2 linked regions of the Ovis aries genome follow. The protein of the gene in region 2 interacts with the protein of the main gene of each other region in a pairwise test. Links are inferred from orthologs where the notes say so. Each region holds a gene or a part of one and is shown on either strand. Other genes may lie near its edges.

What was found.
Region 1: the proteins of RAD54B (region 2) and RIBC2 interact in a two-hybrid assay, tested with the Homo sapiens proteins (2 studies listed by BioGRID and IntAct). The two-hybrid records come from large-scale screens. The link is inferred for Ovis aries from reciprocal best matches to the Homo sapiens genes RAD54B and RIBC2.

Annotation. Positions count from the first base shown.
Region 1 is NC_056056.1:221,716,263-221,720,649, forward strand, and holds the start of RIBC2 (RIB43A-like with coiled-coils protein 2), read left to right. Parts: upstream 1-1,532; 5' UTR 1,533-1,712; coding exon 1,713-1,826; intron 1,827-2,647; coding exon 2,648-2,729; intron 2,730-4,387. Other genes in the region: SMC1B (structural maintenance of chromosomes protein 1B), read right to left, coding at 1,263-1,371. UniProt on the Homo sapiens protein: Microtubule inner protein (MIP) part of the dynein-decorated doublet microtubules (DMTs) in cilia axoneme, which is required for motile cilia beating.
Region 2 is NC_056062.1:82,873,725-82,877,366, reverse strand, and holds part of RAD54B (DNA repair and recombination protein RAD54B), read right to left. Parts: intron 2,806-3,642; coding exon 2,544-2,805; intron 1,070-2,543; coding exon 1,003-1,069; intron 816-1,002; coding exon 618-815; intron 1-617. UniProt on the Homo sapiens protein: Involved in DNA repair and mitotic recombination. May play an active role in recombination processes in concert with other members of the RAD52 epistasis group.

The sequences.
Region 1 (4,387 bases), on a different chromosome or scaffold from region 2:
AATCCCCATGGACAGAGGAGCCTGGTGGGCTACAGTCCACAGGGTCGGAAAAAGACGGACTTAGTAACTAAGCACATTCTTTCACATATACTAAGTGCAAAAGAAAACCTTAAACAACAGCTGTTTTTAAAATGCAACAGAAAATTTACACTTCCACAATAATTATATTCCAGATTTGGTGTGCCCAGAAGGCACACATTTAAGTGCCTCCTATTCGTGTCTGACATATACATTAATTTACTGAGGCAACAGGTCTCTTTCAACTCAGAAAAGGTTTCTGAGCTAAGAAAGGAAATCTGGACTGAGAAAGCCAAATTGGAGTCTCCAGATTTGGGAAAAATCTCAAGGTCACTATTGTTTTAGAGCTTACTCCCACCTGCTTTGGGTCATTAACCCACTCTTTCCAATCATGGAGCCAAGGTGAACCTGGCCAGGCCCCAATTCCAGTCCAGACTCTGCCACTTACTGGGCAATCTTGGAAAGTCATCTGGACCCTCTGAACCTCAGTTCCCTCCACTGTAAAATGGGAATTATATGCATTTGTGAGGATTAAACAAAAAGAAGGGTACCAGGAATTTGGGGAAAGCTCAATTATCGCAGTCATTTCCATAATATTCCTGCGAGGGTTCCTTGGATCCAAACAGTTGTTCAAGGCCCTTGAAACCAATGACTTCCTCCCAATCTCACTCCCATTATGTCCTTTTAGATGAGAAAGGGAAGGGGATGGAGAGGAGACCAACCACGGCTAAGGGCAAGAGGAGGAACCCACAGCGCAGAGAAGCAGGGGTGAAGGAGAGGAGAGTCCAGGGTGGAACCCTGGGGCTGGGGCTGCAGGGCGGGGGTCTGGCCTGGGTGCGGTCTGAGGGTCAGGGAGCTGGGGCAGCGAGTGAGGGCCAGGCCCCTGGGGGTGCGGTCTGAGGGTCGGGGAGCTGGGGCAGCGAGTGAGGGCCAGGCCCCAGGATGCGGTCTGAGGTCAGGGAGCTCGGGCAGCAGAGGAGGGTCAGGCTCTCGGGGGGTGCAGTCGGGGGGCCGGGGCCGAGGGGAACGGTTGGCCGGCGAGAGGAGGCTCCCTGCCACTTCCAACCCGCCCTGGATGGAGTCTGAGGGTCGCTTCCCACCCCATCCATCATCCCACCCTGTCCCTGAGGTGGGTGGCGAGGGTCGAGCCTGAGACCAGGCCTTGAGGCCTCCCTCACGTTTCCTCAGGCAAGAGGCGGCTCGGCCGACTGCGGCGGGAGAAGACATTCTAGGTCCCGAGTTACCAGAGCCGTTGGGGCCGATGATGCAGGTGAACCTCTTGAAGGGGCCTATGACCTGGCGGCCCCGCCATGACTTAAAGTTCTCCACAAGCAGCACTTCCAAACGGCTCATGGCTGCGCCCTCCGCGCCTCAGCTGTGTTCTCTCACGCTGGCGGGAAAAGCGCGGGAAGCGCCTCGTGCGGTCTCGCGAGAGGAAAGCGAGAACACCTGCGAGCCCTGCGCTGTTTCTTAGCAACCGGAGATGTTTACGTTTCCGAGGAAACCGAGACTCCAGGCCTCTGGGGCAGTGAGAGAAGGCCGATTGAAAGCCTCTTGGGCAGGCTCGCATCCCACCTGCCCGGACTCCTAGGGAGCCAGCCTCGCTGGGCTTGAGCTAGTTTTATTTTTGTTGTTTTCTCTCTTAATCTCGCATGTTTTTGAAACCTTTTAGAATTTCTTAGCAATTCGCAGTCATGGAGGTAGCAGAGCCCAAGGACCTGCAGGAGGATTTTGTCCTGGCCAAAAGAAGATATGCAGAGCTGGGCAGGCAGAAACGGATTTTCAACGCCAGGAACAGGGTCATCGGGGTGAGACCCTCCGGATCGGAAGGGAGAGGAGCCAGGAGGGAATGGTGGGGGAGGGGAGGGGGACAAGGGAGCGGGGGAAACAAGAGAGGCGAGCAGCGAGCGGCAAGAGATGATGAACTATTGGAATGAAACTTGTGATCCAGGCACAGCCGCGGACGGATCCAAGCTTTGCCGGGAAGAATTGTTCCACGTATTGAGTTTGCGGAGAATGAGGGAGACCTCAGAACAAGACCGAAAAATGCTCCCTGTCACTTGCCAGTCAGGCAAATTGAGTCCTGCAGCGGGGAGCGAGCTTACCTGGAGTTAGTGGCCAGAGACTGGAATGCGATTCTCCTCTCTCTGAGCCAGACTTTCTACATTGCCAGGGATTTCCTCCAGTCCATTCAACAGACAGATGCCAGTAGAGAGAGTTCTTATTTTGTGGCAAACCTGAGCCAGGCCTTGGAGATGAGGGATAAGACGATCCTTGACTTTGTGAAGTTGATAGCCCAGTGGATGAGGCAGGCGTTAAAATGGCCACATTATAATGCAGGGAAGTCCAGGCAACTAGGGCTGGGAGAGGAAAGCAGAGAGGGCTTCCCGGAGGCTGCTGCTGCTGCTGAGGAGGTAATGCTTAAGTAGTGTTCTGAGGATGAGGACCTACTGACTAAGAAAGGGAGAAGGAAGCTCTAGGGAAAGTTAAGACAGGCTGAAGAACCAACAGAGGCACACAAGGGCATTTGGGTATGAGACGATTTGGTTTATAAAAAAATAAGTAGGATTGTTATCAACTGAATAAAATTGTCTGGCTCTTATTCTCTCCCATTGTTTTCCTTACCCAGGGTGACACCATGGCCTGGGATGCTCAGGTTTGTGACCAGAACATAAAAGCAGCAACTTTAAAAGCGAGAGAGGAAGCCTTTGGTGAGCATTCTCTGAATGGCCATAGTTCAGGGCTGTGTGCCTTTAGACCCAGGTCACATTCCTCATGTATGTAAAGCCTTGTCATTTTCACGCTCTTCTTCCTTTTAAAATTTCAGTTTCTTGTGCTCAGTTAACTTAATGCACCAATTCTTCCACACTTGAAAATTAGCTATTGAATTCTATATGAGTAGAAAATATATTGTGTGCAGATATGTAAATTTTTCTGTTTTCTTTAAAAAACTAGGTATGAAAAACCTCATACACACACATATTCTCTGCCAAAAGCTCAAGACCTTCTACCAGGGACAGCTGGTAATAGTAGACAACACACACTATTGAGCCCATACCCCAGAGCTGACTCAGAACCAGGCACGGTTCAAGTAAAAGTGTTCTGGCTTGTGGGTCAGATTCTCAAATAGTATTCATTTCTGCCCCAGTTATGTCCAACAATGCCTTTTAAAGCACCATAAGGATTTTTTGAATAGAAAAAAAAGGATACAAAATTATATGTACAATGGGTTATCAATTAAGTTTAAATATATAAATATACATCAGTTCAGTTCAGTTCAGTCACTCAGTCGTGTCCGACTCTTTGCGACCCCATGAATCGCAGCACACCAGGCCTCCCTGTCCATCACCATCTCCCAGAGTTCACTCAGACTCACGTCCATCGAGTCCATGATGCCATCCAGCCATCTCATCCTCAGTCGTCCCCTTCTCCTCCTGCCCCCAATCCCTCCCAGCATCAGAGTCTTTTCCAATGAATCAACTCTTCACATCAGGTGGCCAAAGTACTGGAGCTTCAGCTTCAGCGTCATTCCTCCAAAGAAATCCCAGGGCTGATCTCCTTCAGAATGGACTGGTTGGATCTCCCTGCAGTCCAAGGGACTCTCAAGAGTCTTCTCCAACACCACAGTTCAAAAGCATCAATTCTTCGGCGCTCAGCTTTCTTCACAGTCCAACTCTCACATCCATACATGACCACAGGAAAAATCATAGCCTTGACTAGACAGACCTTAGTCAGCAAAGCAATGTCTATACATAAGTTAAAAATATATAAAAATATGTTTAGAAAAAGACACCAAGGAGCTATACCAAAATATGAGCACTGGCACATTTGGAGTGATGGCATGATGAATGAAGTTTACTTGCTTCTTCATCAGGTCAGTTCAGTCGCTCAGTTGTGTCTGACTCTGTGACCCCGAGACTGCAGTGCGCCAGGCTTCCCTGAGCTTCACATCTCCCCGAGTTTGCTCAAACTCATGTCCATTGAGTCAGTGATGCCATCCAGCCATCTCATCCTCTGTCACCCTGCTCTCTTTCTGCTCTCAATCTTTCCCTGCATCAGGATCTTTTCTTCTTTATAGTGTTTCATATTTTCTTTTAAAATTGTAGTGTAAAAGTAATTGAAACCTGTGATAAACCATAATGGAAAAGAATATAAAAAAGAATATATATATATATATATGTATAACTGAATCACTTTGCTGTACAGCAGAAATTAACACAGCAATGTAAATCAATTATACTTCAATAAAATTTTTTACAAAAGTAATTCAAACTTACAGAAATGATGTGAGAGACATACATATACCTACCACCAGACTAGATATGAACATTTTGCCAACTGGCTTTAGATATCTTATATTGAGAATGAT
Region 2 (3,642 bases):
AGAGGAAGAAATGTGAGTCAGCTGAAGTGAGGTGGATGAAACTGAAGCTTGTTATACAGGGTGAAGTTAAGTTAAAAAGAGGAAAATGTCGTATATTAATACATACATATGTAATCTAGAAAAACGGTACTGACGAACCTATGTGCAGGACAGGAGCAGAGACGCAGACGAAGAGAACAGACTGTGGACCAGCTGGGGAGGAGGGGGCGTGTATGGACTGCGCGAGCAGCCCTGACAGATCAACAGCGCCACGTGTGGGACAGCTGCACGGGAAGCAGCTGTGCAGCACGCGCATCTCGGCTGGGTGACAGGGAGACTCAGGAGGCAGGGGATACATGTGCACTTATATCTGAGTCATGCTGTCGCACAGCAGAAACCGACACAACACTGTAAAGCAATTATCCTCCAATTAAAAACAAAAGGCAGCAGCGGGGGGGGGGGGGGGGGGCAAAAAAAATTTTTCAAATATCCATGTTGCAGCTGCCCTAAGACCTGAAGAAAAAAGAAACTAACATGCAAGTGGTCAATATTTTAGTCATTCTGTTTTTAAATATTTTCAACTGCTAAAGAGAGACCAATTAACTTCATCATCATAACAGAATTAAAATACAACTAACCTGTATGATTTTCTCCTGTACACTCACAGTCAAGCAGGTCATGAGTAACACAATGTGAACTTTCATGCAATGTGAACAAATTTTTAAGTTCTTCCACTGAAAACTGAATATGATCAGATGTCTTGGATAGGTCTACAACTGCCCCAGAAAGACCCTGCTTGCTGATCTGTCTTTGATAGATCTTTTCCTCTATTGTACCTGAAGAGAAAACATTCATTAGATTTCCTTCAGATCTTTACAACTGGCATTTTGGTAGGGTAAAATATGTTTATTATTATACTAGCTAACAAAATAATATTCCTGGTACTGAAGCACAGTTTAACACACAAAATACCTTTATTTACTCAAAGAGAATACACCTTTTTTCATACTGAAGGGTTACTACCTGTGGTTAGGAGTCTGTAAATATGTACAGGGTGCTTCTGACCATCTCTCCACACTCTAGACATTGCCTGTAGAAAATAAATGAGAATTCTGAAAGTAAAATAGAAACCTTCTCCACATAAGCAACTTGTGTTCATAAATTTAAGACTAGGAATTCTAGATTTCACTTACAGCTTCAAAAACCAAAGCCCAGGCATAACTAAGCCTTCTCCACTTCAATTTTTTTTTCCTGAGTTAAAGAAAGGGATGAACTCTCGCTATGGTACTGTAAAATACAGGATGCCATGCAACAGTGAGAGGGTCTATCTGCATCGAAAAAAAACTGGGATAGCAAGTTTGGGAAGTAAGAATGCAAAGAACCAAGGATAGCATGGGCATGGAGGGTTTATTCTCGGTCCAACAGGCTAATGATTCACTTCTAAGGAACCTTAGGATACCTGCAATCAGCTCAGGCTCTAGGCAGATCCCTGAGGTTTTAAGATTTATCAGTGATACTATTTAGTAAAAAGTTGATGCTCAAACCCTGAACATTCCAAAGAAAATCATGGCCCTCAACCAACTTCTGGAAGCCCCTGGAATACTGTACCTGATAAAAGCATCTTAGGTTACCTGGGGTCTTGGGCCATAGAGCTGTTTATGCTAACGATGTGATTTAGGTGGGGACTTGGGCCAGTTTGACCTTTGCAGAGGCCAATCCGTGCCTACCTGACCAACCTCCAACAAAAGTCTAGACATCAAGGCTCAGGTGAACTTCTCTGGTTGACAAAATTCCATGGGTGTTGTCATTCACTGATGCTAGGAAAATTAAGTGTTGTCCATACAATTCCATAGGGAAAGGAAAACTGGAAGCTTGTACCTGCTCTCTCCTGGACTCCATCCTAAGTACCTTTTACCTGTGCTGATTTTCCTGTGTATCCTTTCACTGTAATAAAGCCTAACTTGAGTAAAACTGTTTTTCTTGATTCTGTGAGTCCTTCTAGTGAATCACTGAACCTGAGGGTTGTCTCCCAGTCCCCTAACACAGCTACCAGGTGAGGTGCACATCTATAGGTAGAAACCTCAAAATCTGTGAAGATGGACTGTACTCTGAAGAAAACCAAAGGCTGCTTCTGAGAGATTTTCCTAAGGAAGCTAATCCTGCATCTTCACTATACCCTACACGAACACCGATCATGGCGCCTACTAACACCTTGCTGTCTTCCCCTGATGGCCATGGGCATCCTGAAGGCCCCGCTAACTAGAGTCAAGTAGGGCCTGGAGACATGCAGGCTTGGGTGTGAATCCTGACTCTGCCTCTTACAAGCTATGTGACCTGGAACAAGCTTCCATACCTTCATCTGCAAAACGGAGCTTACAGCATGCACACCTGTAGGACTACTGTGAGGACTGGACAGATGTAAAGCATTTAGTGGAATGCCTGCTACAAAAAAAGGGCTGAATATGCAGCAGTTCTTATACTTCATCATCACCCTCATATCCCCGCAGGCACCGTATCCCCCTTTGGCATTTTATACTGTTTGTTTAATATAGAAACAGTCCTACCTGGATATCAGTAGCTGGATTCCAATCAATGTCATAGAGGATTAAGTGAGATCCTCCAATAAGGTTAAGCCCCACACCACCAGCTTTTGAACTTAACAAAAAAATAAAATCAGGAGAGTATTTACTATTAAAGCCATCAACAATTTTCTGCCTTTGAGAGATTGGGGTCTGTCCATCAAGTCTTGTATAAGCATATCCATGACGCTTGCAGACTTCTTGTAAAATATCCAGGGTTCGTGTATAGTTGGATACCAACACGACTCTGTCAATCAAAAAGAAAGAATCTTCATATACAAGGAAGCAGTATTGGATTTTTTTAATTAGAGAAAAATAGTAATATTATCACTGATATTTATAGAATATCCAACAGAATTTGTATAATTAAAATGTAGACTCTCTTTCAAATTCCATTTTAAAGTCAATATCTAAGAGGGAATTCCCTGGAAGTTCAGTGGTTAGGAATCTGTGCTTTTACCGACAAAGGCATGGGTTCAATTCCTGGTTTGGGGAGCTGGGATCCCACAAGGCACATGGTGTGGCAAAAGAAAAAAGAAATCTAAGAGACTTTCAGTATAAAGATAATGGAGTAAATACCTTTCTGCTTTCGTTACCTTTCTTAAGTCACCCTAAGAACAGCAGAAGAATAAGAAACAGAAACACAAAGTCTATCTTTGATGAAACAAGGAGAGATTTATATATGAAAACAGAGACTAGTGGAATGGTGACGTGTTTAGGAGTGAAACCTAAGTGCCCAAAGAGGGATATACAAGTTCATTCACACAGTCACATTTTATAAAGGCAGGAGAAGGCAATGGCATCCCACTCCAGTACTCTTGCCTGGAAAATCCCATGGATGGAGGAGCCTGGTGGGCTGCAGTCAATGGGGTCGCGAAGAGTCGGACACGACTGAGCGACTTCACTTTCACTTTTCACTTTCATGCATTGGAGAAGGAAATGGCAACCCACTCCAGTGTTCTTGCCTGGAGAATCCCAGGGATGGAGGAGCCCAATGGGCTGCCGTCTGTGGGGTCGCACAGAGTTGGACACGACTGAAACGACTTAGCAGCAGCAGCAGCAGCAGCACAGAAGGAAGGGGTTT